Oreochromis niloticus: one gene and its partners. The main gene of each other region encodes a partner of the protein of the gene in region 2 in a complex. Links are inferred from orthologs where the notes say so. Each region holds a gene or a part of one and is shown on either strand. Other genes may lie near its edges. The genes, in order: eif3jb, eif3d, eif3s6ip and eif3i.

Region 1 (7,315 bases), on a different chromosome or scaffold from region 2:
CTGATGGCTGCAGTAAGGCGGTTCTCAGGCTGGGTCGGCTCAGGCTGTCCTGCTCAGAGGAGCAGCTGCAAGCTCTTGTTGAACTGCTAACCCACAGCCTCGCTTTTGGACTCATGAGTTCCTGGGGCACCGATGTGTTCATTGAGATCGGAGTCCTGGCAGGTATTGTCTATTCATTGTCTTTGCCACATGAATTTTAGATGTACTATGCATAGTCCTACATCTGCCTTAATGTGTGGTCAGGTCAGAGATTTAAATCAAAGACATTTTGTTTTCCTCTATGCTTTGCTGTAAAAGCATTTGATTCATTGATTCTAGCACCCTTTGCTCTGTTTCACTGGAACATTTTGCTTGTTTTTCAGTGGGTATCCCAGACATGGCCATGTCAGCGCTGGTAAAAGAGCAAATTGAGGGAATTGCACCTTTGGCTATCTCAATGATGCCACAAGAAAAGTTTGCTGTGAGTCAAGATTTAATTAAACCAACCATATCATGGGTGTTAAACATAAGGCACGGGGGCCAGAAATGAACCAACAAAGACTCCAATCCGGCCAACTGGACGGCTTTAGAAAATGTGAAGGAGGAAATATTATTTTGGACTTTTAAATGTGTTGTAATAACTTTTACAGCATTTCCTGCTAATGACAAACTCTCCCACAGCAATCCATACTACACCACAGTATATTATGTCAGAGATTAAACTGGTAGTAAACCTTCTTGTCACTGACAGAAAGATTAGTTTCACTGGTCAGGGCCCATTATTGTAATACCAAGGTGAGCTAAACTACACTTAGATATGTGTAAAAAGTACATAATTTTTAGTAACATTTGTTTCTTACAATAAAAAAAATGTATTCCTGTTTTTGCGTCCATCTTGACAAATCTTTATCATGTCTTTAATTTATCTCTCTAAATAAATCCCACCCGCCGTGTTTTTTTTGTTGTTTTCAAAAGGTGGTATTCTCCCAGGAAAAGATTGCCATGTTCTCCTACGAGCAGGCTGTTGCAGTAACTGATAACCAGCGCTCTGTTCTGTCAGACCTCCAGAAAACAGCTCTAGCTATGGTGCTGACACCCTGGGACGATAAGCCTGTAGACTTCAGAGGTAAAACCTGAATCAGTGCTGTCCACTGATGACCATTAAACTTGATTTGTCTTCTTTATGCATTAATCGCTTTATCTGATGAAAATATAATCGCCCTTATCAAAACTCTAACCAAAGTTTTATGCTAGTTTAGGTACATCTTGCTAGTATCAGGTTGGATCCACTTTTGCCTTCAGAACTGCCTTATTTCTTAATTCCTCTGAGATTTTGCTCCATATTGACATGATAGCATCATACAGCTGCTCCAGATCTGCAGACTGCACAATCTCCTGTTCCACCACATCCCAAAGGTGCTTCATTGGATTGAGATCTGGTGTCTGTGGAGGGTGTCTTAGTGCAGTGAGCTCATTGTCATGCTCAAGAAACCAGTTTGAGATGATTTCAGCTTTGTGACATGGTGCATTACCCCGCTGGAACCAGCCATCGGAAGATGGATACACTGTGGTCATAATGGGGTGAACATGACACATCAACAACAATACTCAGGTAGGTGTGCTTAGCTGGTACTAACCTGCCCAAAGTGTGCTACGGAAATATATCTATCACACCATTGGATGACCCCGTGTGAATTTTAGCCTCAGTTTTCTGCTCCTGTTGCCCATTTTTCCACACACTTTGAGCCGCTTAGTACCATGTGAGGATCATTTAAACACCACAGTCTGACTGAGTATTGTTGCTCATTACATCCATCCCATTATGACCACAGTGTACAATCTTCTGATGGCAGCTTCCAGCAGGAGGAGGTCACCAGCTCTCAATCCAGTAGAACACCACTGAGATGTGGTAAAGCTGGAGAGTCGCGTTATGGATGTGCAGCTAACAAATCTGCAGCAACTGTGTGATGCTATCATGTCAGTATAGACCAAAATCTGTGAGGAATTAAGAATTAAGGCAGTTCTGAAGGCAAAAGGGGACCAAACCAGTACTAGCAAGCTACACCTAATAAAGTGACCCGTGAGTGTATAAATTATTACTGTAATTTGACTCCCAAAATCAAGGCTGACGATAGCTGCTGTTGTTTCCTTGCTGGTTTCAGCACTTTATTCTCATTGTACTTGTAGATGTTTCCAGTGTGCTTTCTTTTCTAACATTATCTAACATATGAACATTATGCCTTGCTAGATATGCTATGCATGGATACTCTAGGTGTGGAGAGAGTGCCTACCGTGATATGAATCTGCCTGAACTATATTTTTGCATAGCTCTACATTTGTAATGCTTTTGCTGAATTCCTGCAGGGAGGTCACTGGGGTTGGCGTTGAGCCACAGCCCCCTGTGTCTCTTATCGGGACTGCTGATGCTGCTGACCGTCCTGCTCTGCCCTGACACATGACCTCGTTCACCCCAGCCGAATCAGGAGACCCCCTCTTCTACATGATGATTGTCTGTCTGCACAATGCTGTATTTCTTTGAAATAAACAGCATTTAAAGCTTTCCATACTCTTTTTAGCAACACTGTAATTGATCTTGTATAACTATTACTTTAGCATCAACATTTAGCAGTGAAAGAACAAAGTTTGAGAGAGTAAGAGCTGTTTGTTTTAATCAGCAAATCTATCTAATACCCACAGATCCTAGACTATTTATTTATTTTTGTACAAACCTATCTAAACACTTTACTTTCCCATATATATCCTTCTCAGGGATGCCATACCTAGAAATAATACTTAAAAATGATAAAGGTTAAAATATAATTGTTGTGCAGTTATTACGAAAGAAATCTGTTGCAAATGTACAAAGTTATTTATTTTTGGGGAACTATAGATTTATGTGAGTAATAGTGATAACACTTTCTATATATCTGTCTATTTTGAGTTATCTTGATTACAAAACAATACCTAGTAGGGCCTGATTGTACTAGTATTGATCAACTTTGGTCTGTTGTTGCTGTGAGTTTTGTACTGTTGTGCACACTTTGTGGTGTGATTAAAATGACTCTAAATGATCAATAAACTGAACCAATCTACCTCTGATTGGCTCTTTTTATTGCTTGTTATTGTTGTAGTTTTACCCACAGCTCTGTTCACCATTCAAAAAGCATTTGACACTACAGATGACAGATTACTAAAGATAAAGCTGGAGATAACGGTATCAAAGGGGTGGCACATTCCTGGTTAAATAGTTACCACACTGATAGATACCACTGTGTGCAAATAAATAATAACTCTGGTTTCATTGTGAGGTTTTTTTTCTGTTTATACCGTAGGAAAAAAAGGTTTGGAATAGCTTCTGAATGTAGTTGAAATTATCAATAAATCACAGCTATCATATTCAGTAACAGGCAAATAAGGAATGAAGTCAAAATTATGATCACTGATGATGAAACAGAAAGAGTGTATGAAACTAGATTTTTTGCAATGGGTAACTGGATACTAATCACATTTGCAAGGGTCGTATAAAGAATTCCTTTTCTTCTTTCGGTTGCCTCGTTTAGGGGTCGTACATCACTCTTATTTTTAAAAATGGGTGCTAGTACACTTCTTCTCCATCCCCCAGGGATCCTCTCACTCTCTAATCTGGTCCACTGCCCCCTCTCCCGGATGTCTCCTCCACAGTTATGTCATCTGGACCAACTGCCTTTTCACTCTTCATCCTATTTATAGTTTTCCTTGCTTCCTCATTCACTGCCCTCCATCCATCCTCAACTTTCTTTCATTTTCGTCATTCATGAGCTCCTCAAAGTAGCCTTTCCACTCTCTCAGTAAACTTTATTCATTACTACATTTCCATCTCTATCCTCAGTCACCCTAACCCGCTGCACATCCTTTCCAGCTCGACCTTGATCCTTCAAAAATATTATTTATTTTAATATATCACTGAGGAATTATTGATCACCATTTCCATTTCAATTCCCATTAATATCATACATCTGAGGTACTGCACTTTCTCGACAAGAATGATTAAAAAACAATTTTTAATGTATATACTTTATTATACTCCCTTATGAGATTCAGTTAAATTAAGGCTATTAATTAATTATTTTTTCTTCGGTTAAAATAATATGTAGTGTATCCAAATGTATCCAAAAGAGATTAAGAATAGGTTTTGACTCTTTATGTAAGAATGATGTAAAATGTACTTTTAACACATTTATTTTACAATGCTCGACTTAAAAATGCGTGGAACTTGGCTTCAGCTTGCTTGTAGCGTCTCATGTTTACAATTGAAATAAATAAAGGCGTGATGAGATTAGTTGTATCGGGGTCGTTGTGCTGAAAGTGCTCCGTGGACGTTAGATAAGGCCGGAGTGCCGCCCAGAAGGTGGGAGCTGTTTCTGAACGTGGCCAACGGGCTGCAGCACTGACTGTACAGCGAGCCTGTCAAACACAAGCAACACAGCCAACATGGCGGACTGGGGTGAGAAACTAAGTTGGGAAGGATGGCTATCTGTACAACATTTACTTGTCGCACTCGCTGTTTTAAGGGCCTAATACACCTCTCATTGTTAACTCCAGGTGTCAGATGTGGACTGACCTAACGACTCTCATGTTGTTGTTTTTACAGACGCTGACAACTTCGAGCCGGAGGAACCGATTAAAAAGGCGGCAGCGCTGGACAAATGGGAAGGCGAGGACGAAGATGAAGATGTTAAGGTAAAATATCGTGACGAACACTCGGTATAGTCTGAGCCGCTTTTTAAAATCTGCCACCGGTTGTTTGCGAGCTGTTAGCTGACCGAGCAAGCGACAGGATGTAATGCCACGCTTCGTCGTGGTTTCTCGCCGCCTGTCAGTCCGAACCTCCGAACCCCTGTTAGCTTATGCTAACTCATGTGGCTCCAACAAGCAGCCTCTGGAAACTCTAGCTCAGCTAACAGTATGCTGGTATTCGAGTTTCAGTCATTCAAACGTACTGTTAACAAACTGAATAACGGCGTGCCAGTTCATACTTATAGGTTTAATCAAATTTTTGGACGCTAGTAGTGTTTTCTACTTCTCTTGGCGTCATGAATTTTGATAGCGGTGCTTGAAGCTAATCTCTCACCGGACGGGCCACTTGAGCTAGCTAGTCTGCTAGCTCTCGTGTATTGTTGCGTCTGTAAATAGGCTTTAATGTTGGGTGACCTCAGTATTGAGTGATTTGTTCATGTGTTGCTAATATACAGGTCCATCCCATTATTGCACAGATTTAGTTGCATTAAACGATTATTGGAGATTAGCATAATTATGTCTACTCTGGCAAACCCACAGCTTGAGTCACGTTGAGTATGAGGCGGCGTTAGCGTGCTAACCAACTTTAGCCCCATTCAGATGAAATCATCCACTGGGTTGATGACTCAACTCAGCCAAGAACTAGGCCTGGAACTTTCCGACTTTACAGCAGGCAGTAGGAAGCCGCTGTTCAGCTGATACCGTAATACAGGTAGCTGCTACGTGAAAACTGGCACGGTCTCTGTCCAGAAGCCTCAGATAATTGATCCTGTGGAAAGTGCTGGCAGAGGCCTCTTCAGTTCTCCCGTTTTCTGTCGCATATGGCGTCCAGACTGAAGAGCCTGATGGTTTTATGTCCTCTGTAGTACAAAATGGTCATTGTTTAGGAAGAAGGGTTAAGATTTTTGTGGAAATCAGACAATAGCACAAAGTTAATTTTTACTCAAGATAATTAAATTTATTTCCAGAGCTGCTGTTGTTGTTGTTCATAACCTGCTGGAAATGCAACAGGCCGGTTGTCAAATGTTTATTGTGTAGTAATTCACAGTTTAAAGTCTTGGATATTTCAGTTAGAAATTAGTATCTTCTTGGATTGGATTACATTTATTTGTAGTGACACTTAAGGTGGATCTTAATATAAGACAGCAATCTACAGGATCACAACCCCAGTGATGTCTGAAGAGTCATCACCTATAAATTAATAAATTAACACTGATGTCATAACTCGTAACTCATTGTCATGAATTACAGAATCTTAAACTTTAATGTTGTTATATTTTTTGATTCTTAATCACTGTTTAATATATACAAGTTCTGCATTATTACACAGTATTAAGCACTCACTGTGTGCATGTGGTACTTTCAGTTTTTTAATGTAGACTGTACTATTTTTATTCTTTATCCTGGTACCGTAACACAGTAATTACCCTTGTTGGATCAGTAACGTTGATCGATCCAGCTTATATACATCTACGCCAGTGTAATCAGGACTAGAATAATTTGAACTAGAGGTAGAACAAAAGTTATTCATCTTCAGAAAATGAAGTGGCAGCTGTTGCATATCGATAAGTGATAATTTTATGTTTTAAAAAGTTTGGATTTTTTGTTATTTTAAAATAAACATTCTGACTGATTGCAGCCTTTGACTTACATTTTTAAAGTTGTCTAGTTCTGTAGGTGTTAAGATGTTGCTCAGAAAAAAAAGAAGACTTTTCAAGGCTTTAGCATGGCTCTGGGAAGCCATATTAATGTGTGTCGTTTGTTTGTTTTTGGTTACATTATACATCTATGTCTATATATTTACATCTTCTAGCTTACATATTAATAAAAAGGCAACAGTTACACACATTATGTTCTGTGTGTTCACAGGACAACTGGGACGATGATGAAGAAGATGAAGAGAAAAAAACAGATGTGAAGAAACCAGGTTTGTATCCCAGTACCGCTTGCCTTTCACTAATGGAGTATACTTGATTACTGAATGATTTTAATTTTCTTATGTCATTATTTTAATTTGCAGAGCCAAAGGTTTCTGAAAAGAAAAAACTTAGTGAAAAGATAAAAGAGAAAGAAAACCGGATGAAGAAGAAACAACAGGAGGCAATGGAACAGCAAGAAGTAAGTCCCACTTTCTCATCTGTAAACCTTTTGACTCTATGCTCGTTTATCTCTAATAATATCTTAACTCTTACATTTTTATTTACAGGAAGAACAGCTCACTCCTGAAGAACAGCTGGCAGAAAAATTAAGAGTGAAGAAATTACAGGAAGACGCAGACTTGGAGCTAGCAAAAGATGCTTTTGGTAAGACCGGATCAGGTGTAGAAACTTTTTATCAAGAACATGAGGTCTTCCACAAAATCAAGTTGTGTAACTGATGCAATACATTTAGTTTGCAATACATTAGTCGCTGTTGCTTGTAGTTAACATTTAACTAAGACTTAAAAGGCTTAAATACTCCTTTGGCTTTTACGTTTTACACAGATGTCCCAGTAATTCAGCTGTAGATGCCACATACTATACCTCACCTCCAAAGGAACAATGCACCATTCTATTATCTG
Region 2 (7,592 bases):
ATAAAGAATCAGGATTTATGAAGAGGTCAAAACCATAAATATGGTATAAAGATGCCTTTTAATTCTGTAAAGTTTGGCATTTGTTTTAAATTCTGTCCTGTCTGACAGCTTTTGCAATCAGATTTGTGATCTGAGTGCACGGTGGTGCCAAACACATTTTGCTTTCCTAAGAACAGCTATATAAAATCTGCTTGTTCGGGTGTTTCTTTCTTTTATTTATTCATTTTTATTCATGTTATTTCAGTTATTACATTATCTGTGGGATGATATGATGTCTAAGGGAGGACATTAGAAGATGTTTTTGTACTCTGTTTTCCAGTTGCTTGGTCCAAACCTGTAAAACGGGCTCAGCAAGACTTGTAGATATTTTCAAGAAAGAAAGTTAAAGATTTACTTTTTCGCTTTTAAATTTTCAGGATGTTTAGTTTTATAATTGTCTCATACCTTCTGCAGCTGTGAAGCAGCGTGGTGTGAGGTGGATGTCAGTATCAGGTGGAGTTGCTGCGCTGGCTCCTCTCACTGGGTCCAGCTTGATTTATTAATCAAGTGCTGGAGGTTGCAGCAGATCGTCATTACTATTGTGATGAACATTGTGCTGTTACCTGTTGTTTGCAATCATCTGCCTGTAATAATCCCGTCTCTCCTCGCCTCTCCCGGTTTCCTGCTCCCAGCTGTCTTGGAAACTGCCCTCCTTCGGAAACACACTCGGCTGCTGCCTGTGGAGCAAACTTGCCCACTTCATCACTTGTTCTCTGTAACCTGTCAAAGAAAGGAATCACCTGCTCCCCAGCCTACCCACGCTCTGCCTGTTCTCCTTACTAACTTCTGATTTGCCTCCAGCCACCCACAGACCCCCCTCCACGACTCCATTCTCCAACAACACAAATAAGACTGACACAGTTTATCAAACTCAGCTCTACAAACAATATTCCTCATCTGCAGTTCCGTTAGCTCCCTGTCTCACTCGGGCAGACCTCCTGTGTTTTGACACTTATGTTGCACAACGTTGACACCTCCAGCCTGCTAGTTTTTTTCACTATTCATTTTTTACCAATAAATGTCTTAAACTTGCTAACTTGTAACAGCTGTATGGCAGCTTTCTTGAGAAACTGGAATACGTTCTTTTCTATCCATCCATCAATCATCATCTTCGGGTCATGATGGCAGCAGGCTTAACAAGGTTTCCCAGATATCCTTCTTCTCAGCAACGCTTTCCAGTTCCCCTTGAAGGATCCTGAGGCCTTCCACAGGCCATTCAACACATATCATTTCTCCTGGGTTCTCCTTCCAGTTGGTCATGGCTGGAAAACCTCCAGAGGGAAGCATCCTGGAAACATCCTAATCAAACGCCTGAGCCATTGCAGCACGCTCCCTTTGACGGGAAGGACCAGCAACTCTTCTCTGAGCTCCCTCCAGATGTTTGACCTTCTCACCGTGACCTTGCGCTTTCAGTCACTACCCAAAGCTCGGGAGCATAGGTGAGGGTTGGAACATAGATCTAAAATTGAAAGCTTTGCCTTCCTCACACTCCAGTTTCCCATTCTTTTGTGAACAAAATCCGAAGAGTTTTAAACTCTCTTCCTTGGTGCAACTTTTCCCTGATCTGGGGGAGCGGTCCAGCTGCTTTACATGTTTAAATTCTACTTGAAAAAACTGAGAAACAAGCATTTTTCATTAAACTGAAGTTGCCAGTAAACTGTATATGCCTGGCACTTGATTTTCCTGCGGTGGCCCTTGGTAAAACTGAGTCTGACACCATGGGTTTAGAACAAAGTGGTGTGACAGATGTTGCTGCTACTGTAGAATTGCAAAGAAACATCAAGTCTGACAAAAATACACCTCTGCGTCAGACGGCGGCCGTGTTGTTCCTTTCCACCTGCTAGCAAAACACCCTCTGCGTGAGAGTGTAAAAGATATTCTTTTTGGTTTACAGAAATAATTCATACATCCATCAAGATACATAATAAAATCACTTAGTACACACTGTGCTGACCATCTGTTGTCAGCGCCGCTCCAGAAATCCCGGAAGGACGACTGTGGGCATGTTTGATATGACTCACCGCCCAGCTGCTGGGAGATAATCAACACACAAAACAAGGAAAATGGCAGAGTTCACTGTGGTGCTGTGTCTGTTGTCTACACAGTGAGAATCTGTGGTTTTGTTCGAGCTCGACTAAACGACAGGGACGAGAATGCAGATGTGGAGAAAGACTTGCAGATATGCAAAGATGGCAGCATTATTCATCACCCAACTGATCCCTGAGCAGCAGGAAGGGCTGACGCTGCTGCAGGAGAATTCATTTTCTCTCTGCCAAATTGACAACAGTCGCGCACACAGACTCCTTTTTGTGTTTTAATCAGATTTCCTGACCTTTGCGCTGCATGAGTAACATCTTAATTGGATCGGGGATTCGTTTAGAAGCCCCTCTCGAGGCCTCTGAGGTGATGTGCGTCTGATTTACATTTCCAAAGCACTTTTGACAGAACGTGTATGAGATTAAGCTCTAATTACTTGCATAAAGCAGCATTAAAAAGACAAAATGAAACACGGTGGACTGACAATAAATGGAGCCTGTATGAATCTTGTATCTGCTGAGAAAACAAGGAGAGACAAAAGAAAAAGAAACATGCTCAGAAAGCAAACCTGTTTTCCTCTAAGGTGAACTTTGCTCCAGTTACTACAGTTGAGTCCATATAGTCCAACACGGTGAGCTACACCCTCACAGGCCATCTCAGAAATGGCAAAAAGAAGAGGAGACAACACACAAAAAGGAAAGAAAACAACCACTTACACATGGCAAGGTTCAGTAACCAGCACTTTATATGGAAAGCAACAGCAAGAGCTTGGATGAGGGACACTTTCTGCAGAATGGGGAAACCCAATAATGTGTCCAGGTGTTACTCATGCAGATTAACAAATCCTCCAGTCCAGCCTGCAACACACAACACGCACACACCTGTAGTTCTCAGGTGGCAAACAGTGTTGTTTTTGCTGCAGGTTCACGTGCAGCTCCCAACAAATGTGACTGCACAGTGTGGTGATGCATACTGCTCCGGAGTAATCTGTAAACATGACATATTGATCTGCAGAACGATTTTGAATCCTCTGAATGATTTTTCTAAGGTGGCTGTCTGCTGTTCTTTTCTGCAAAGCTCTGACGGGCATCTATCTCCTTTGTGACTTTCAGGAATTTCAGTAGTAGTAACTGTTGGCTGACGTTAATCAGCTCCAGTTGTGCTCATTTTTAGTCGTCGCTGGTTCAGTTGCACAAAGAACTTCGACAAAAAGGCTGAGAAACACCATTGCTCATGGCTGCTTTCAAAGGCTCAATTTATATTCAAACACAGGAGTTTATTTAAATCACGTCAAAAAATGTAATTTAATCTGCAAGCTATCAGATAAGTGCAGTGCAGTAAATGTGCATGCAGTGATGTATAAACTGGCATAAAATGCAAATAAAAGAACCTCAAAACCGAGTTTGTTGTCCCAGTAACCAAACCCTATGACACCCTCAGGATGGATGGATGGATGGATGAATAGATGGGTTTACCAGGATTCTGCCACTGACTGAACAAAAATTAACATACAAAAAAATTATCAGATAAAAATGACCACTTTCCTGTTTAAACGGCTTAACATAATTAATAATTTAATACTCATTCTATGCTTTTTAGAAAGTATAGGTGTTTTAGGTTGTGAATATTGGATGTAATTTGTAGTTTCAAACGTATTTCTACACATCGACTTAAGAAAACATAATATTCACCTCATTTAGTTTGTTTGGTTGTTTGTTTTTTGATATTTTCACGGCTGTTTAAATGTTTTATTTTGAAAAATGTGCCCGGAGCTGTAAATATATTTTGGACGTTTGTGGAGACCATGGGCGATCACAATGTAAAGTGCCCTCCTGTTGTCAAAGTGTGGAATTGCAGCACGGTTTTGACAAGAAAAGTTGTTAACTAGTTGTTAAAATCAAAATTTCTGAGTGATTGTTGTTGTGATTATTGAAAAACACGGCCACTGTTGACAAACCGCAGTATTTAAGTCTTTTTTGGAAACATGTTTTGATTGTGTCGTTGACCGTTAACAGGAACACATGTCCCATCGCTTGAAGTTGCTACCCTCTAGCGGTGACACCGCCGAACTGCACCACATAACAGCTGCCAAGTTAGAAGTGATAAAATAGCCTCACATCCGATGCGTTCTTTCAAAACAAAAAGACATGTAACTAGCGCAAAGGGATTTAAAAAAAATCTGGCTAAAAATAGGCTAAAAAAAATATAGTGATATGCAAAATTATACAACATACAAAGATCTACAGTATATCTGTATGACTGATTGTTGCATTTCTCTGTAACAATATAGCAAAATAAACTTAATAGGGTAGAATTTGAAAATAGCATTTCAAAAGACCATTCAGCCTTTCATTTGCTCTTTGGCCTAATTTTTAATATTTTTAATTATTAAAATTACACACATTAACTTGTATATTTTTTTAATCTTTTTCATGTAATCTGAAAATAGCAGTGATTTTATTTTTTTATGGAACGCTCATTTCAGACGACGGTAAAAACTGACGTACTACGCCGGCTGCTGCTGTAACACAGCAGGAAACACTGCGCTTTACGGCACTTCGCACTTCCTTTCATACCGGCGCTGTGTTGGGGCAGAGCAGCGTCAGAGCAACGACTGGATTAAAAGACTCCATATACTGACACAGAATTAACGGTAAGAGCAGAGAAAGCACGCACAGACGTGTGAAAAGCGCCTGTTTTTAGCAACGTTTTCAGTCAAATATCAGAGATTTGTGTTTACGCGCGTGACGCCCTCCACCCGGTTAGCTTAGCATTGCTAGCATGACCACCTGGCGGTGCCTAGTGTTAGCATTAGCCACGATGAGCTAACGGTGCAGAAAAAGCGTTTCAGTGCTGCTCTATTTCTTTTAAATAATTACACTGGCTGATCTCAAGTTAGCAACTGTATGTTTAGTCTCAGTATATCTAGTTTTTAATCAGCGATTGTTACCAATTGGCTGCAAAAAGCCCGTAAAGAACCCATTTATTCGTTTTTATTATCACAAATCTAAAAGATCAAATCAAACGATAGATAATGTTCTTGGACGTCCTAATGGTTGAAATCTTAGAATCGTAAATGTACCAGCAGTGAGGACCGATCATTACTTTATGTTGCAAACTTTAATGCAGCATCACTGGATGATGAAATGATCCACGTCAGGCCTACTGCGCACTCAATCTGCTTTGGAGATTGTCTTGATTGGTCTTTGTTCGTCGGTCTTAAAAGACACCGAGTTAGTAGGGGATGTTTTATTTTATCCACAGAGCGGTTCTTTGTTGGTGGGAGCATGCCAGATGTTATCGTGAAGGGCGTTCCCTCAACATAGAACCGGTTCCTTTACTCTGGTTTTTGAACTGTACCACTTAAACCTTACAAAGTAATATTTGACCCAGTTGTGGCCCACATTTAGGCTTGACCCTAGATAAGTATGTTTACATGAATGCAACCTCAGATCCATCTAAAATGGCCCAGATGTCCCACATGTGGGTCACTCATCATTTAAACCAGTAAAATACTGGCTTTGTGGCCTGTGGTTCATGTCTGGGGGTATGCAGCATTTGCTGTGTTGTAACTAAGCCTTGAGTGTCAAAAGTAGACCAGATTTCTACAGGTCAACCTGACCTGCACTAAAATAATTTGGGGTGCATCCACACGCATTCATCTTTGGTTAAAAGCCCTTCTGTTTCGATTTTGTTTTATTGTAATCACAAATCCGGCACCGCAGTATAGAAAGCCCACGCCCCCCTGCTGATTTAATTATAGAGTAACACAGACACCCTCCACCCACGTTAATAGCTGACAAAGGTGTTGGTTACATGCTTAGGCAACAGCTTAGACCATAGGATCCCAAGTGGTGTACCGCAGGATCCTATGTTAATCATACAGCTGCAATGACTGATTCACGAGCTATGTCAGTACTTTTTAGGCACTCATGTACCGTATTCTCTTTCTGTTTTTGTCAAAGGGATCCAAAATCTCTTTGTTGATAGATGGTAGGAAATATTACAGGGTGACACATTAAAAGCACTGAAACCACAACTAACCATCAGTTAGATCCACCACCTAAAGAAAAGAGAAATGTGGGAAGAAACTATCCCAAAGACTTCCTTATATTAGCTAATTATGCAGGAAATAAATGAAATAATAAAGCGAACAGGGTAATTGTTGTAAAGAAAATACTTATTGCAATTATTCCATTTTAACAATCAGTGGAAGCCAAGATTGTAACTAAAACTAAAATTTGTTTAACTGAAGAATCCCGTCACTGTTTAAATATGTTGTATTACAGCCATAAATCATAGAGTTGACTTTCAGGGGTCAGTGATGACTAGCCCACTGCGCAAGCTGATCAATGCCTGTTTCTTTTAGTGCATTGCTGAAGAAATCAGTGCTGCTCATTGCCTGAGACCCTGTATGTGTAATATCAGTCAGCTAGACCCAGAGGGTTTTTAATGTTTGGTCTCAGGTCTGATGTCTTTTTCCCTTTTCCCTCTGTCTTTAGGCCATGGCGAAGTTCCACGCCCCTGTGATCCAGGACAACCCGTCCGGCTGGGGTCCTTGTGCGGTCCCAGAGAAATTCAAAGACATGCCCTACCAGCCGTTCAGCAAAGGAGATCGTCTGGGAAAGGTTTGTGTTCAGTTCTGCTCGGAAAAAGGGAAAAAAGTTTTCCTGAGTTTAGTGCTGTGCAATATGACCAAAATCTCATATCCTGATATAAGAATTCTATCGTCCTGATAACGATAAAAATCACAAAAATGCAACATTTCCTGTAAATTCTGTGAATCTCGGGCAGCTCGACTTGTGTGAAGTGTTTCCAGCTGGGCGTTGTGTACCTGGAGTCGAGTGTTTTAACCGATGCATGAAACGATACATTTTTAGACATAAGTTGTAACAGCCGCCGTTTTCTTTGTGAGTATTTATTACACGGCGTGCTGCGGGGAAAAGTCTGTTCTAACGTTTGAGTCTAAGGTTTATTTTTTAGCACCTGACGGCTCTTTTTGCTTCTCATCCGTAAACTCTCTGCATACCCTTTCATGTGATTCAGTTTATTTTGAAAAGTCTCAACAGGATCTTGAGCTTTATTGTGAAAGGTTTATGTGGAAATAAACAAGCGGACACGCAATGGTTTTACCATCGTTGTTGCTAACGACTACGCATAAAAACAGGCGCTTGTCCGTCCGTAGTGTGGTTATATTAAATATAAAAGAAAGAGAGAACTTTAAGAAATTAATATAGCCACTACAGTGACCATCAAAACGATGAAACAATATTGCCGTAAATAGTTTATTTTGCGACACCACGAAACAAATGATAGCATAAAATGAAACGATAGACGTTTTTATATCGTCATCTGATATCTATCGTTACATCAAACAGCTCTACCTGAGTTTGTTTTTTACTTACTTTGTGTGTTTTGGGTCTGACAGGTTGCAGACTGGACTGGAGCTACTTACCAAGACAAGAGATACACAAGTAAGTCACAGCTGTACAAAATCTGCTTCATTTTACATTTTA
Region 3 (7,650 bases), on a different chromosome or scaffold from region 2:
CCTGCCAGCCAGCAGACTGACATCGCAAACAGAGTCATTCAGCGGCCCAGCATCCTGCTAGAAGTCTGCTCTCCAGCACACACAGCATAGTGCCAAGCTCCAGCAAGTTTACAGTGAAGCTCCAAGAACGCAGCATGGAAAAACACAGTTGAAATCATGAAATCAGCCACCCATGAAATCAACCACCCAGACTCAGTTTCAGACATCCGAATATTTATTTCTAAGCCGTTTCAAAGTTGGCCACACTGAAGGAAGTGCAAACAAATAAGATGTGAAAGTGAGGGAGAGGAAGAAACTTCAGAGACTAATGGTGCTTTGAGGGCTTCTTCCTCCTGTGTACACCTAATTGTAGTTAGCTCTCTGCTACAGATCTCTGTGTGTTTTTTGCCTGTGGTGATGGATGGGTGAGGCTGAGGCAGAGCCCCGACACTCCCCTGATGTCTCATTCCAGCCTCTCCGAGTCGACACCATCATCCTGCACAGGAATATGGTGGAGAGTGATGGATGGCCTCTGCCTCAGCTACATGCGGCACAGACTTCCACCCTGAATTATCATAAAAGGAGACTCGTGCAAGTCTGAACACGCATTTTGACTCAAATCAATTTATTGCTCAAATCCCACTCCCGTCTACTTGCAGACATCTGGCGCTCACTTTCTCTGTTTGCCTTTCTCTTTATTTGGCCTCTCGTGATTTTTTTTTTCTTTTGTTCTTTGTGGGATCTCTCTTGGAAGATGCTTTTTGCATCTGCTCTAATAATACAGAAGGTTGGCAAAAGAACAAGAGACAGGCAAGAGAGGGCGAGGCGGGTGGAGTGTAAGGGAAATTTTTTTTCTAAGATCAACCAGCATACAAATCAAATCCTATTACCTCCCCCTGGCTCGACGGCATTGTGGGATTGAATGGGGTATGGAGGAGGCGAACCTCCAGCAGAGAGCGCATTGTAGGCTGATAAGAGCCTTCTGGGCTGGGAGGCCCCTGCTTCCAGCGCCTTGAGAGGCCCCTCACACCACAGCCCCACAGGGTCAATGGGGGCCCCAGCTGAGAGCTGTGGCAAACGTGTTAAATGCCCTTGCCGGGAGTTTCCTGCGTGGATGCTAGGATGCAAAGGGGATCATTAGTTTCCAGCATGGTGGAAAGGGAAGAAAGTGTCAGCCTTTAACCAGCCTACTAACTCAATCAAAGGAAAAAGGGATTTAATTGCTTTGAGAGATGTTAAAAAGAAAAGGAGGTGTTGCAAAAGGCTAGTGGTAGTCATGTGATAAAGAAACCCGCCTCTTTGAGCAGGTGGAAAATTTTAGGAAAGCACTTGGGGGGCAGCAGGGCCCGTGTTAGATCAAAAATTCTACATAAAGATTTGAAAATGAGGCAGCCACTATTCTGTGTGCCCTCATCTTCTCACACACTATTTCATATTTCCATAAACAATGGAAAAAATCGGTCTCATGAATAACCCTGGGCAAATATCTCATATATTTAACTGCCTGTCTGACCTCAAATATGCACAAAATATAACATGAAGACATTTTCTTTTAACCAGTAATGGTCTCTCCTGTATATGTTAAACAATAAGCCATTAATCACTTGCAACCTTCTTTGTAAAAGAAAGTTATACTACTAAAGACAGTCTGATTAGCCCGTGTTGGGAGGTATGGCACACAATATGAAACAAAATTAAACTGAGGCACGCAACAAAGTAGAGAAGTTTCTCGTTCTTACACTCGTCTCCAGAGCACAGCAGATAATGTGTCATATCCAAACAACCACAAACACAGCTACACCCGTGTAACCTTTCTATTAAATGACAGGTAAATGGTATCAACCATGTCACATATAGAGAAATACTCCTCACACTAATTATCTGTAGCCTTGGTCTGTGTGTGTGTTTGTGTGTATCAACTCAGTGAAGCATCTGCCCAGTACAACGCTTCCTCCCACATTCCACAACTCTGTAGTGCCGTCAGGGAGAAAGGATCTCCGACCCTTCACCTGAAGGTTAACAACTCATGGCCATTTGTTTCCAATTGGATACCGAGGCATCTTCTCCAGAACCATAAATACTGGTGCTGGGAGAGGTGGCTGTCACATCAGCCTCTAAATCAAAAGGGGGAGCCTCTGACAATGCACATTCCACTCTCTATTAAGTGTCCTTTACCACTGTACCTGCACTTGATCATGGCCATGAAATTCCCCAGAAGATGCACTTTCTGTCAGAGTTTAATGTAAGATGGAGAGGATGCTGCTGTAAACAATGCCATGTGCTTTAATGCAGAAGATCCCGGCAGCTCAGCCTCTGAAGAGCAACTAGAACAACAGGAGCAAACCAGACAGAAAGGCAGCAGAGCCGAGAAGCTGGCAGGCAGGTTACAGCAGCAAAACCAAACCTGCAAAGGATCTGCTGCACACCAGCCAACTGCTTACAAACCTATAGCCTTTGCTGTGCCAACACTCTGAAAAGCTGTGGCGCTCAGTTTACATGACTGACAAAAAACACAGAGCCATTTTCTCCGTGCACAGCTCTACTTGATGCTCTCTTGAGCTCTAAAATGGATTTCTGCCACATATAAAACATTCAACTAATACAGCCCACTTCTTTTAGAGTGAGATAACCTCAGACTCAGACTTCAGTGTAAGAATGTGGCAGAGTGTAGTAGTAATTGACTTCAAATGCGTCATTATCGGTATTGAATATTTTATTATTTCAGATTCTTAGACTAAATAGATCACAAGAAGCTTGACTTTTAAGAAAAGGGTGCGTAGGAACTATTTCTTTTATATTAAAAATATTTTCCAGATTGTGAATTTTGGAATTTTATTCATAGAAAGCACATGCACATCCTTTCCATTTAAAACATCTTTTACTCATGAAATTGAATGACATTCATTCCGGGAGTTAAGTGCCTCCTCATACCCTGAGAGCGGAGAACTTCTGAACGCCTCCAGCGCACTGTAGACAGAGGAAGACCAGCAGTGGACAGATGCGCATCCTGACGCAGCGTGGTAATATACTCTCCAAATTACGCGCGGTCCAAAATCGTGTTGGTAGGAGTTCACCTAGGCGCAAAACTGTCTATGGGAAAAGTCAAAAATAGTTTAAAATCCGCACCAGTCCTTTCGAAGAAGTCACTGGGGGTCGGTGGTGTATTTCACGTCGTTTCCTTGGTTTCGTCTGCCAGCCCGTTTGTGTAGACACGCTCCTTATTTCTGGCAGTCCGATAAACCCCCCCGTGTCCCTGACCTTTTCCCCTCCCTCGGTGTCTCTTTCTCCCTCTCTTTAACTCAACTTCGTTTCTCCACACCCCCTTTCTGCTACACTTGATTCTGTGGACTAGATCCCTTATCGGATGCAGGCGGTTCCCCAGCCGGTAGTCAGTCAGGTAGGCGTAAGCTTACGCCGTCAGCTGCTGGTAGTTGAGTCAAACACGTCAGGTATTCTTTTCTTTACGTAAGAAAGTGGTGTGAGGATGCTCAACCCCAGTGAAGAGAAAACGCAGGAAGGGGTCAGAAAGTGTCTGCTAGGTGGATCAGCAAATAAATTTTCGTTCTGATGGACGCATACACAATCACATTTAAAGTTTTGATTATACGGCTATATACAATTCTCAAAACAAAGTTAGACAAGCCCCTGAGTTTCACACAATACAGATTAAAAAAACAAGCGGCGCCTAGAATAACAAATATTTTGGCAAAAGTAAAATAATCTAACAATATGTCCCTTTGATCACACATATAAGACAAAATAGCATATTTATTGGCCATATTGTATTAAACCTTTCTCAGCTTTGTAACTATATGCTGTATGAGCACGAACCAGTTTGCAATTTCTTCCCAATAACTCTCCATTCGCCGAGTCCACGGCCACTAGTGCAACGTTTCAGAGCGTCCCACTACGACTATAACGCCACCTAATGGTAGATGATAGTCTTCACAGTCTGCTCAATACACTCCATATGGTCAAATAGCTGTCGGGGATTTCGAAATTCTACACATCAGTTCGGACTTTTGCGTTTGCCAGAACTCTGCGTAACGTATTCTCCACAAGTTTATTTTATTCTCCACGAGAAAAATTAGGCTGAGTTTTCAACATACATTTTTTTGTGCAGGAATCAAAGAAACTTGACAAATAAGAACATAGGGCCTATATCAAATTATATCTGTTCCTCTTGGTTGTTTGTTTTTCAGTACCTGCACAAGAACCCCTTCAGTAGAAAGGTATTTCTCGCCAAGAGTCCGTTTGTTTCCCGAATATATGTTTGGTCAAAACTGGTGTAGCCTAATTAGTATCATTAGACATCTTTACAATACATTATGGTGAGTAAAAAGCACAGCTGTAAACAAATACACAGATGCCGTGTCACGAACAGACACTAGCAAAACAATGAGGTTCATAAAATACATTTATGAAACCCTAATCAGAGCCCTAGCTTGCTCTTGTTCTCAGTTACATAGGTATCATTCCCTACGAGAAACTTAAGAAGAAAAAACGTGGAAAGAAATGGCTATTCGTTTTTAAATTCACCACCCTCTACATCTTTTTTTGTTTGAAATGGCTTTTAGAGGAGACATGCGAAAGTTTGAGAATCGAGTGTTTCTCTTGGTGAACAACAAACTCAATTTCCCACAGTGCTCCAATAACAATGCGTGTCACTCCTACGTCACAGCTACTTCCTTCCGCTTCTTCTCGTCTCTCCACCGCCAGCTGCGTGGTTTAGCGGCGGTAGCTAATTGAGCATACATTCTCCTTTTTCACTCCAGCATCTAAACTAGCTTGAACTAATAGCTAATACAATGTCATACCACGACGAAGAGGATGTAAGTACACATTTACTCCTTCAGACATTTTAACGTTTTGACTACAATAACAATGGCACACTGTTAGCTAGGTAACACACACTGTTAGCTAGGTAGCTGTGTAGCTAGCTCGACTCCACCGGCATAGTATAACAGTGGCTTCAATGAGTTAGTGTGATATAAATTTACTCTTAACCCCTGCTTTAAGAAAATGCAACCTGGACAACTAGCTAATTGTCTGTAACTCTTTTTAGTGCATTTTTATTATTATAAAATATCGCTATATAATCGATCAGTTGGTCGCTTCTCGCTGGGCAGATGTATCAATATCAGATGCTGTATCAGTAACAAATGCCCGATTGCTTTGTTTCCTTACAGTACGATCCTTACTCCTACACAAACGACTACGATCTGCACACTGGTAAGTATACAAATAACCATCCCTTTTATACTCATACTATCAATATTTACAGATACAATCCTCTTGTTTAGTCAGTCAGTGTATAACACACAGACACAAACATACACAACATAAGTAACTTTTAGAGGAGAGTAAAGGATATTCTTTTAATTTTCCTTGCAGGTGACCCTAAAGCAGACCTTGCCTACGAGAGGCAGTATGAGCAGCAGACCTACCATGTCATCCCAGAGGTGATCAAGAACTTTCTGCAGTATTTCCACAAAACCATCTCTGACTTGATTGACCAGAAGGTTTATGAGCTGCAGTCCAACCGGGTGTCTAGTGAGAGCATTGAGCAGAAGATCTACGAGATCCAGGACGTCTATGAAAACAGGTAAAGTTAACTCTGTGCACATAACTCTCACACCGTGTGAGATTAATATGCTGACCTTTTCATGCTCTTGCCCATTCAGCTGGAACAAGTTGACTGACCGTTTCTTCAAGACCTCTCCCTGGCCAGAGGCTGAGGCCATTGCATCACTTGTTGGCAATGGTGAGAGCGTTATCCATTACTTGTTCTACTTTTGATTTTGTATGGATAGTATCATTTTTATTCTTTATTGTTTGAGTGTGATTTAAAAAAAAAAAAGATAAACTTGCACCGCTTAAGATTATTATTATTATTTATTTTGTATATTTAAGATTTTATAAAAGTTTTAGGCCTCCTTTGTGTGGTTCAGTGGAGATGTTTCATGTTGTTTTTGTCTCTTGTGTTTTGCAGATGCCGTGTTTCTCATTCTCTACAAGGAACTCTATTACAGACACATCTACGCTAAAGTCAGCGTGAGTAGCTGCTAAATATGAACAGTTGTCTGGGTCTTTTTTATCAGTGTCCAAAAAACTTTCTAGAATTTGGTTGAAAAAAGTATTTTCTGTATAATCAGGGTGGACCAACTTTGGACCAGAGATTTGAGTCCTACTACAATTACTGCAACCTCTTCAACTACATTCTCAGTAAGTAGCACAAATTGTCCATACATTTTCTCTTACCCGTTGTTGTTAGTGCAAGAACAGCAGCTTAATGAGATCATTGTTGACTCTAAACAGATGCTGATGGGCCGGCCCCCTTGGAGCTGCCAAACCAGTGGCTCTGGGACATCATTGATGAGTTTATCTACCAGGTACATTACAGTGTTTTTAGAGTGCATGCTCAACAATCAATAAGATCAAAATAAAGAAAAGGGCTGATAGCTGTTGTTGTTAATGTTATCATTGCTTTAAGCACCAGATAGGTGACATATTAATGAAGATATTCGTGGTCTTTAATGATCACTAGTCCACGTGGCTAGAAAGCATATTTAAAATCCACTAACAGACATCTCTTCCACCTTCAGTTTCAGTCATTCAGTCAGTACCGCTGTAAGACAGCCAAAAAGTCTGAAGAGGAAATTGAATTCCTGAGGAGCAATCCGAAGATCTGGAACGTCCACAGTGTCCTCAATGTTCTCCACTCCCTGGTGGACAAGAGCAACATCAACCGTCAGCTTGAGGTCTACACGAGTGGAGGTAAAGAACAGTGTTTTTTATGATATTTATAGAAAAGATGGAGTGTTTCTAGAAACCTAATTACTTTAAAATCTTGAATTATGTCAATTTAAGGCTTTAAAATCCAGGATTGTATAGGTCGTGAACATGTTATGTGTTCTTGTAATGCAGGAGACCCAGAAAGCGTGGCTGGAGAATATGGACGTCACTCCCTGTACAAGATGTTGGGTTACTTCAGCTTGGTCGGGCTTTTGAGGCTTCACTCTCTGCTTGGTGACTATTACCAGGCCATCAAAGTCCTGGAGAACATTGAGCTCAATAAGAAGGTACGACCTTATTTAAGACCTCATGTATAGAGAGGTCTGGTCTGCTCCAATGGTGATGATGAGCGCTAGGATTGGGTGTCTATATGGAAATATGTTGTTGTTTCCTCTTGTCCTAGAAGGTTTGATACAATGCTGACAGATACTGATGTTTTTAATTTAAATCAAACAAACGATATTCTCCGAGGATTCTTTTGATAATTTGACTCAGCACAGTTTCTGCTTTATCAGTCTTTATGCTCATGAAATTTAATGTGGGCAAAGTGAAGTTGCAGTAAAAAAGAAGGAACTCATTAATTTACCTGACACATTAACAATGAATAACAATTATGATACTAACATTGTAAAGTAAATACATAATTCAAAGTTCTCAGTTCTTCAGTAGCACAGAGTCAAATAGTTCATTTCATCTCAAAGTTTTTGTTAAATCAACCTTTGTAGCCACAAATAAAAAAGTTTGGTTGATCTGTTGAAATTAAACATTAAAAAAAGAAACTGCTCGTTTGCTCTGTAATTCATATTTCTGCATATTTTCTTTTGCCTGTCTTTCAGAGTATGTACTCGCGTGTTCCAGAGTGCCAAATCACCACAT
Region 4 (8,008 bases), on a different chromosome or scaffold from region 2:
TCAAACCAAAAGTTTGGTGACTTTGCACATGAACCGTAGAATAACCTGCAAATCTTGTTTTGCAGCAAAGTTACGACATCACAGCTTCATAAGTGGCTCAGTCCAGAGTCCTAACGATGTCACCGCCTTTGGGTCTCTCTTAGGATGTTAAACAGATCCATGCTTACTTGTGTTATGGATACAATAAGCCAAAAATCTCACTAATGTGAATCTTTTCTGTGACAACACGACGATGTTTCAGCTTCCTTACAGCTGAAACTGGAATCTTCTGTTTTTCAATGCACAGATGGCTAAAAATCTGAGAGCACAGTTGCTGTAATTTTGTCCGGATGTGTGTTTGTTCACAGAAAGCTGTTCGGGATCGCGAGTTTGAGGCACTTCAGGGAAAAGTCCAGCGGCTGGAGAAGCTCCGGCGGGCGCTCAAAGTCGAACGGAATGAGCTGAACAAGAAGGTCCAGAGCCTCAGCGGCGGCACAGAGGGAGCCCCCACTTCCAACCCAGGGACTGACTCCCCCTCTCCACCACCTACAGACTCTCTGCTGGAGCCTGGCACCTGCCCTGCCCCTGACACCACCACCGCCTCCACCTCTTCTTGCTCCCACTCCTGCCACTGTGAGCCACAGCTGGACACAGACACCCTGCTGGAAGAGGCAAACACTCAGCCTGTCCAGGCACAGGAATGAAGCAGCACTGCTCACACGTTCTTCAAACCACCCACAGATAAGCCACCAGCCTGCAAGCCACTACTCCTCTGCTGGATGGAGCCCGTGTTAAACACTGGGACGGAAACAAACTGCAAAGTCACACCTTTATGTACGAGGCCAGAATACCAGATCAGCGTTTGACAGAAGGGTTTAGTTGTAATCTCCCAGAATCTTCTGCAAAAGTCTGCTGGTGTAATTACATGCACACTATCACACAGTTACTGTGAATGTATAATGCACTGTAATTTGGTTTTCATGGCTTTTATTAGCATCTATCCAGCGTGATCATCTACAGGAAGCGACTAATCAGCCACGCAAGTTAATATTATTACAATACTTTCAGAAATCACTATAGTCAAAGGATAGTGATCATATTTACAAGTTATTATCTACATATTAATGTCAACATGTGTAAAAATGATCAATGAACAGAAACCCAGGATGACATAAAGGACCACCATAACTACATAAAACCATGCCGTGTAGTCATATTAACACATCTAAATTTGTATATACAAATTATCAAAGCTTTTTTAGCAAATTAAAAGTATATATAAAGCTCGTATGAATAAATTTACATTAACTACATCACTTTGTTCATTCTATTTCCTAAGATCCAGAGCCAGTTTTTATCATTCTGACTCTTCATTTCTAACTCTCGAGTTTGTTCCCCTTATTTTGAAGTTTGCCATATTCTTCCTTTCTGTTTCTGAACTCACACATGTACTCCTGTACTCAGTACTCAGTAAGTTTATTTCCTGCTTTAAATCACACCATGAGAGTTCCAGAAACATCTCTATCCATATTTAACATATTGATTATAATAGCATCTTTGAAATAATCTTCAGAGCCTTAATATTGCCCTTAGACTGTATGTAAACAGTGGCCACCCTTTGGTTTCTAAGTCACATTTAAAAGCCTCAAATTTAGTGTTTTGGCCGTGACTGTGTTGGATTTTCAAAGTCAGAAGTGACCTTTCATCTTTGTACAAGAAGGTGGAAATATTAAATTAACAGCTAATATTAATTAGCTTGGTTAGCGAGATGCATTCATAAATTGTAGGGGTGCGAAGCAAAGGCACACATGCCTGCAACAGATTAAAATAGTAGAATTTCAAACTAGATTACAAACTAATTTCATTTAATAAAATCCTCCAGAAGGTCCCAGCAGCACAGACATGGTGGAGCTGTCCAGCTCAGTGACTTGAATTAGCTGACCTAGCAAACAGCGATTAACTACAGCTCCCTGTGTCGGTCAGAGCAGGCGTTGATTCACATGGATAACAGGTTGTCATGGTGGTGTTATGAAGGGATTTGTTGTCCCGGGCTGGAAACGTGTTTATTCAAGTTTAAGGAGGAATTGCAGTTTCTGGCACTTTGTGTGTTCACATTTTTCAGGCCCAGAGGTTTTTGTCGCATCATCTTCAGATCTCATCATGTTTTTTTGACAGTTAATAAATAGTATTTTATTAGCTGAAAACTCCAAAATATATGTCCGTATTAACCTCATTACTAGTGTGCATGTAATTCCACCGACCGCCTCTGTTTTGTGCTGTTTTGCTACACCTCCGGTCCAGTCGGCCCGGCAACAACAGCAACACTGCTGTGTGCGATGAAGCCAACCTGCTTTATGGTGTCAAGAGTCAGAGGCTGAATGGTGTGTGTCCAGTTAGTCTGCTTCAGTTTGCACGCTGATTGTCAGTGTTTATCCTAAAACCCACTTTATGTGTTTCTTTCAAGTGAAGTCTTAACAGCAGCATCAGGCACAATATTTTTAGCAGGTTCCAGTCATAAAAGAAGAAAATCAATCATTTTCTTGAATTTTTCGGTCCTGAAATTTGAGTCCCACTTATTAAAGCGTCATACTGATCTTTAAAATGGCAATTTTATGGCAGTTAAGCATGTTATCTTTGAAAATTAAGGCAGCACATCACTGATGTGACAGCAGATTAATATCAGCCACTGATCGACGAATCATTTTACTTGTCAATATTCCAATATCGTTGCATTCCTGAACTTTTGGTCCGTCTGCATTGTTGGAAGATGAATCTCTGTCATTGAAATGTGGAAATCTGGCAGAGCACGCTGTACTCGCCATTAGTTTAGAGCATTTCTAAAGAGTTTTAGTTTTATGTCTTCAGTTGCTTTTTGCTAATTTTGTTTGGGTTTGTCACTCTGCAGTAATGACCTCTTTAAACTCCATGGTTGTCTGGTGTGTGTATGGTGAGTGTGTGTGATAGAAGTACTTTGTAATCCAGTTTTTCCAGTTGAATGTTCAAAGACCTCTATGCAACGCTCGTGTCTTGGTTTTATTCTATGGCAGTCTGATCTGACAAGCACTCAGCTGAGAATGTATTTGCATTATATCCACTGTCCTGCATGGATGTGCTGTACCACACATGACATCTCACCGAGGAACACACACACACATATATATTTGTTTTTCCTTTTGGCCCACACTTGAGCTACACCGGATTGTTTCGACGTTGAGCGTAATGTTGTGAATCTCTTGAAAGATGCACCGACTGAGCCGATGTGAATACAGATGGAAAAGTTAGACCGCCTCTTAATGGACCATTGAACACGTGTCTTCTGACATTCTTGTGTACTACGTAATATGTAGCACTGGGAACAGAGTGACGACTCATTTTCATCTGATATCGCAATGACAAACCTAATCTCTTCCATTGTCCCGTAGGACAGATTCATTCCTGTCCCACAGTGGACTGGGAGGTTCATTAACCATGAGAAGGAACCAAAGATGTTTCTGTTTTTGTTGGGTTTTTTGGTCTTTTGCAGTACTTTTCTCTGGCTCTGTATATTTTGTTTCTTGTTAAATAAAAGAACTGACTTAGCTTTGACTTTCTAGACTCAAGCTTTTATCTGATGCTTCTATAAATATTTGGTCAGTGATGCTTGTGTTTTGAGCATGTGTGTAATTTTGCCTCAGTTACAGCACCACGGTGGATATTAAGTTGAGGTGGATTTCCAAAAATGCCGCATTAACTGTTCAGGAAATCCAGACATTTTTCGACACTGTGCCTCATTTTCAGAGTGTCAGAAGTCCGTGGACTTTCAGACCTTTAAGATCGGGGATGTCAAAGACGTTTTACATCATTGACCACATATGGCCCAATTTGAACTTTTAAGGGGCCGGCCCGGTGAAGCTCCCCATACTATAAGCGGGAAAAGAAGTTGAATTAAATGTTTAATCCCAGAGTGATCTAATTATAAGGAAATGATGTGCAATTTAAATAGTACCTCTCAGGTTTTCCTGCATGATAGAGAAATGTTACTGTAGTAAAGTAATCTGTCAACAAAACTCTTTGGGTCTAAACTGTAAGGAATGAATGCGCTGCAGAAAAAATGTTCTGTTAGCTCATTGCTGAGACTGACCTGTATTTATCAAACACGAGGTTTTTATATTATTTTCAGAAAATTGCTGAGTTTTTTGCTACAAAGTTAAAAAAAACCCATGAATTTCTATAGTAGATACTACAAAAAAAAAAAAGAACTTTTCTGTCATTTAATTGTTTACTGTTACTTTATTATGTTGGTGTAGTATGAACTGCAATAGGGGAGGCCTTTATCAACAGGAAAACCTGTAAAGTTTATTTTTTTTAAAAAGTACTTAAAAGTCCAAAATTTATGCTCTCCTTCGCATTTTGCAAAGATGTCCAGCCGTCCGAATTGAAGTCTTTGCTGGGCCGTTTCTGGCCCCCGGACTATTTTTGGCACATGTGTTATAGGCGCTGAGCTGACCAGTGAGTTTGTTTTCATTCAAATTGTTCATTTAACCACACTTACACTTTTTGCAAAGTCTCTGATAGGTTTATTTATTTATTTATTTATGTATTATTTTTAACCTAATGATCATTTCCCCCACCTTCATCTACAAGTTATTGGACCTGGTATTGAATTATTATATATATAAAACTGGTTTTATGTGTTTTTATGTTCAACATGGAAATGGATCAAAATGAAATGAAAATTGAGGAAAAGACAAAGGGAAAATTATACATGTGGAAAGAAGTTAAAATGATATACTGTTATAAATTACCGCTATCTGTAGCAATATATACACTGTTTATAGTATGGGTGAAAAAGAATTTAATCAGACTGGAGCCAAAATATCAATAACATTTTCAGAAAATAATCTCGAACACATATGGAGACAAATATGTTGGAATAATTGTGTTTAAAAAAGATAAACAAGAGGGGTTTTTTAAGGATTTCCTTTATAACTATTATTTTTAACTATTAAGCGTAACTCTACTCTCCAGAGCAGGAGGTGGCGGCAATGCGCTCGAATGCGATTTCCCCATCCGCCAAGAGAAGAAGAACATTTCCTCTTCCGCCGCGGCTCCGGCGCCTGAAACACGAGTGTTCATCATTTCTCTTTCCACGGGAGGAACGGCGACAATACTGGACTTGCTGCCGACACTTAGCTGACAAAAATGGTTAGTGTGCTTCTTGGTAAATGGTTCTTGATGCTAATCGTTTTCGAATGAAGCGGTTTGTTGATACCAGGATCGCCTCCAGCTTAGCTAGCGTAACTGCTGGTGCTACCGTTAGCTTAGCTCGAAAATTAGCCAGCTACAGCTTATATTTGAGCTAGTGTTAGCTGGGTGTAGCTAAAAGAGGTTGCGCCGGCCTGTGGTGGTTGCTACAAGTGAAAAGCTGTTTTCCCTTTTTCTTCTTTGCCATTTTCTGTCGTTCGCTGTTTTGTCAAACATTTTAACGTTAATAGTTGTTTCGTCATCGTAGAGTCCTCCGCATTGTTTCCCCTTTGAAAACAGGGCGACCTGCTGATTTAAAATCAATGCTGGTGTTGTTCACAGAAACCGATCCTGCTCCAGGGCCACGAGAGGTCCATCACTCAGATCAAGTACAACAGAGAAGGAGACTTGCTATTCTCTGTAGCTAAAGACACGGTGGGTTCATAACAGCCAAGTTCACTGATCCATTGTTTGTTTGCAGCTGGCTAACTCGTTGACCATCTCTCTCTACAGGTAACTAATGTATGGTACTCGGTCAATGGCGAGAGGCTTGGTACCTACAACGGACACACAGGAGCTGTGTGGTGTGTGGACTGTGACTGTATCCTTATTTTTCTGGAAAAAATGCTTGGAAATGTTGCTTTATAGCAAACGGATGTAGTTTAGGATTGTAATGTATTGATTGTGCATGCTCAATCATCCAGGTAAGGAAATCCAACTAAAGTAATTCTGTTCATCTTAAAAACATGAGCTGAGGTGGTCTTAGATATGTGACATCGAGATGAACAGAGCAAACTTTCTGGGATGAGTTTGTAATCCTGTGATAGTGTCTGTGCTGAGAATACGCATGTTTGGATCCTTAACTTGTCTTCTCTCAGGGGACACTAAAAATGTGCTAACAGGATCAGCAGATAACAGCTGTCGGTTGTGGGACTGCGAGACTGGTAGGTTGAAAACAAGTTAATCATTTTTCTTTCACTAGCTTTGCATGATTTCAAACTAATCCTCATGTGTGGTATACTGGGCTTTGCTCTGCCCCCTCAGTTGATCTTCTGTCTCAGACTGGCTGTTTTAGCTCCTTTCATTTTATGTGTAACTATATTCTTATTGGCTGCTTCTTGCAAACAAAAGATTTGAACAAGGGGTGGGTGGGGCTTCTGTGCTCACAGCCTGAGATGGCCATATTAAAAAAATCTGTTTTCAATGACATCATATAGAGCCAAGGGTAGAAAAAACTGAGGGTTTTGTGGGGATTATTTGTCATTTTAAATTTTGTCTGAGTTTAATAAAAGCATCGACCATTGTAACAGTGTATGTATAAGAGAATAAGGAAAAACAATGTATCCACTTTAATGCCATTTTTGCAGCATCGTCTGAACCACTCAGGTATGAGACATCTCTAACCGCAAGTAGTTTGTTCTACAGTGTCATAAAGCCCACTGTGTGTCGTCCACAGGTAAACAGCTGGCTCTGCTCAACACCAACTCTGCTGTCCGAACGTGCGGCTTCGACTTCAGCGGCAACATCATCATGTTCTCCACAGACAAGCAGATGGGTTACCAGTGTTTCCTGAACTTCTTTGACCTGCGGGATCCACAGCAGATAGGTGCATATACACAGTGTTAGCAGTCATGTTGATCTTTAAAGAAAAAGGGCTACGAGACTAAAGAGTCACACATCAGAAGAGGTGCTTTGAAGCCACCATTGGGCACATTTTCCTCCATAGACCAGTGTGAAGTAACTCATCTTTATCTCAGTTTTATATGTATTTAGAGAGAGTTTTACTGTATCAGTGGAATTATTGTCGTACATGCAGATTATGGCTCATGTCAGTGGTATAAAGTTGTAATTTTTTTCTCTCTTCTCTCTGCAGAGGACAACCAGCCCTACCTGACTGTACCTTGCAGTGACCACAAGATCACCAGTGCTGTGTGGGGACCACTGGGAGAATTTGTCATCGCCGGCCATGAGAACGGGGAGATCAACCAGTTTAGCGCCAAGGTTTGTGTCACACACTGGGAACATGTGGGAGTGTATTAAACAGGCAACATAGAAAGCCAAGTGCTAACTACACATAGCTCACAGTGCTACAAAAATGTGACCTCTTCACCTTTCCCTTGTTTTCTGTATATGCTGTTACCATGGTGATTGCTCATATTAAACATGACCAGAATTTCATATGACATTGGAGTATGTACAAGGAGTCATTATAAGCCAGACTGCTCCAAACAGTTTCACACCATCTTCTTTTCCTACCTTGGCCCTGTGTGATGTCAGAGAGGGCGTCCTTGTATGGTTATCTCACACATGCAAGAGGCAGCTTATCAGGTCAGAAATGGCTTAAAGGGAGCGGAGCCAAAACGGCTTGTTTCAGACAGGATGAACTGATGAGGTCCACTGTAACATAAAATGAACAAGGCTTACTTTGAATGGTTGAAGTGCACGAATAAAAATCCGGGGGTTGAAACAAGAAAAAAAAGAATCCCGCTTCAAAGCGTCACGTTGAAACGTGCTTCATGTTTTGGACAGTCCGGAGAGATCCTGAAGAAGGCCAAGGAGCACACCAAGCAGATCAACGACATCCAGACATCAGTGGATCTGACGATGTTCATCTCTGCCTCCAAGGACAACACTGCTAAGGTAAGCCTTTAAACACAACCTCCCTGATCAGGTCACTGTTGTACGTTTGCTTTAATGTCACATGCAGATGTCTGTGATGCTGTTACTGAGTGTTGGTCATCTTCCTCATGTTCTTGTAGTTGTTTGACTCGACTTCTCTGGATCACATCAAGACATTTAAGACAGA

Evidence for each region.
Region 1: eif3d (region 2) and eif3jb share a complex: the UniProt entries of both Homo sapiens proteins name them as parts of the eukaryotic translation initiation factor 3 (eIF-3) complex. The link is inferred for Oreochromis niloticus from reciprocal best matches to the Homo sapiens genes EIF3D and EIF3J.
Region 3: eif3d (region 2) and eif3s6ip share a complex: the UniProt entries of both Homo sapiens proteins name them as parts of the eukaryotic translation initiation factor 3 (eIF-3) complex. The link is inferred for Oreochromis niloticus from reciprocal best matches to the Homo sapiens genes EIF3D and EIF3L.
Region 4: eif3d (region 2) and eif3i share a complex: the UniProt entries of both Homo sapiens proteins name them as parts of the eukaryotic translation initiation factor 3 (eIF-3) complex. The link is inferred for Oreochromis niloticus from reciprocal best matches to the Homo sapiens genes EIF3D and EIF3I.

The regions. Positions count from the first base shown.
Region 1 is NC_031965.2:18,810,051-18,817,365, reverse strand, and holds the start of eif3jb (eukaryotic translation initiation factor 3 subunit J-B), read left to right. Parts: upstream 1-4,306; 5' UTR 4,307-4,449; coding exon 4,450-4,462; intron 4,463-4,609; coding exon 4,610-4,698; intron 4,699-6,624; coding exon 6,625-6,682; intron 6,683-6,775; coding exon 6,776-6,873; intron 6,874-6,961; coding exon 6,962-7,058; intron 7,059-7,315. Other genes in the region: strc1 (stereocilin), read left to right, coding at 14-162, 363-460, 955-1,105, 2,344-2,438. UniProt on the Homo sapiens protein: Component of the eukaryotic translation initiation factor 3 (eIF-3) complex, which is required for several steps in the initiation of protein synthesis.
Region 2 is NC_031969.2:30,431,890-30,439,481, reverse strand, and holds the start of eif3d (eukaryotic translation initiation factor 3 subunit D), read left to right. Parts: upstream 1-4,575; 5' UTR 4,576-4,729; intron 4,730-6,578; 5' UTR 6,579-6,581; coding exon 6,582-6,704; intron 6,705-7,504; coding exon 7,505-7,550; intron 7,551-7,592. UniProt on the Homo sapiens protein: mRNA cap-binding component of the eukaryotic translation initiation factor 3 (eIF-3) complex, a complex required for several steps in the initiation of protein synthesis of a specialized repertoire of mRNAs.
Region 3 is NC_031978.2:25,123,381-25,131,030, reverse strand, and holds the start of eif3s6ip (eukaryotic translation initiation factor 3 subunit L), read left to right. Parts: upstream 1-4,650; 5' UTR 4,651-4,787; coding exon 4,788-4,811; intron 4,812-5,168; coding exon 5,169-5,211; intron 5,212-5,373; coding exon 5,374-5,584; intron 5,585-5,663; coding exon 5,664-5,743; intron 5,744-5,971; coding exon 5,972-6,033; intron 6,034-6,134; coding exon 6,135-6,204; intron 6,205-6,297; coding exon 6,298-6,371; intron 6,372-6,584; coding exon 6,585-6,756; intron 6,757-6,906; coding exon 6,907-7,061; intron 7,062-7,610; coding exon 7,611-7,650. Other genes in the region: smoc2 (SPARC-related modular calcium-binding protein 2), read right to left, coding at 2,911-2,985. UniProt on the Homo sapiens protein: Component of the eukaryotic translation initiation factor 3 (eIF-3) complex, which is required for several steps in the initiation of protein synthesis.
Region 4 is NC_031985.2:30,543,705-30,551,712, reverse strand, and holds the start of eif3i (eukaryotic translation initiation factor 3 subunit I), read left to right. Parts: upstream 1-5,002; 5' UTR 5,003-5,160; coding exon 5,161-5,163; intron 5,164-5,544; coding exon 5,545-5,637; intron 5,638-5,715; coding exon 5,716-5,803; intron 5,804-6,080; coding exon 6,081-6,146; intron 6,147-6,658; coding exon 6,659-6,808; intron 6,809-7,075; coding exon 7,076-7,203; intron 7,204-7,731; coding exon 7,732-7,842; intron 7,843-7,961; coding exon 7,962-8,008. Other genes in the region: txlna (alpha-taxilin), read left to right, coding at 348-683. UniProt on the Homo sapiens protein: Component of the eukaryotic translation initiation factor 3 (eIF-3) complex, which is required for several steps in the initiation of protein synthesis.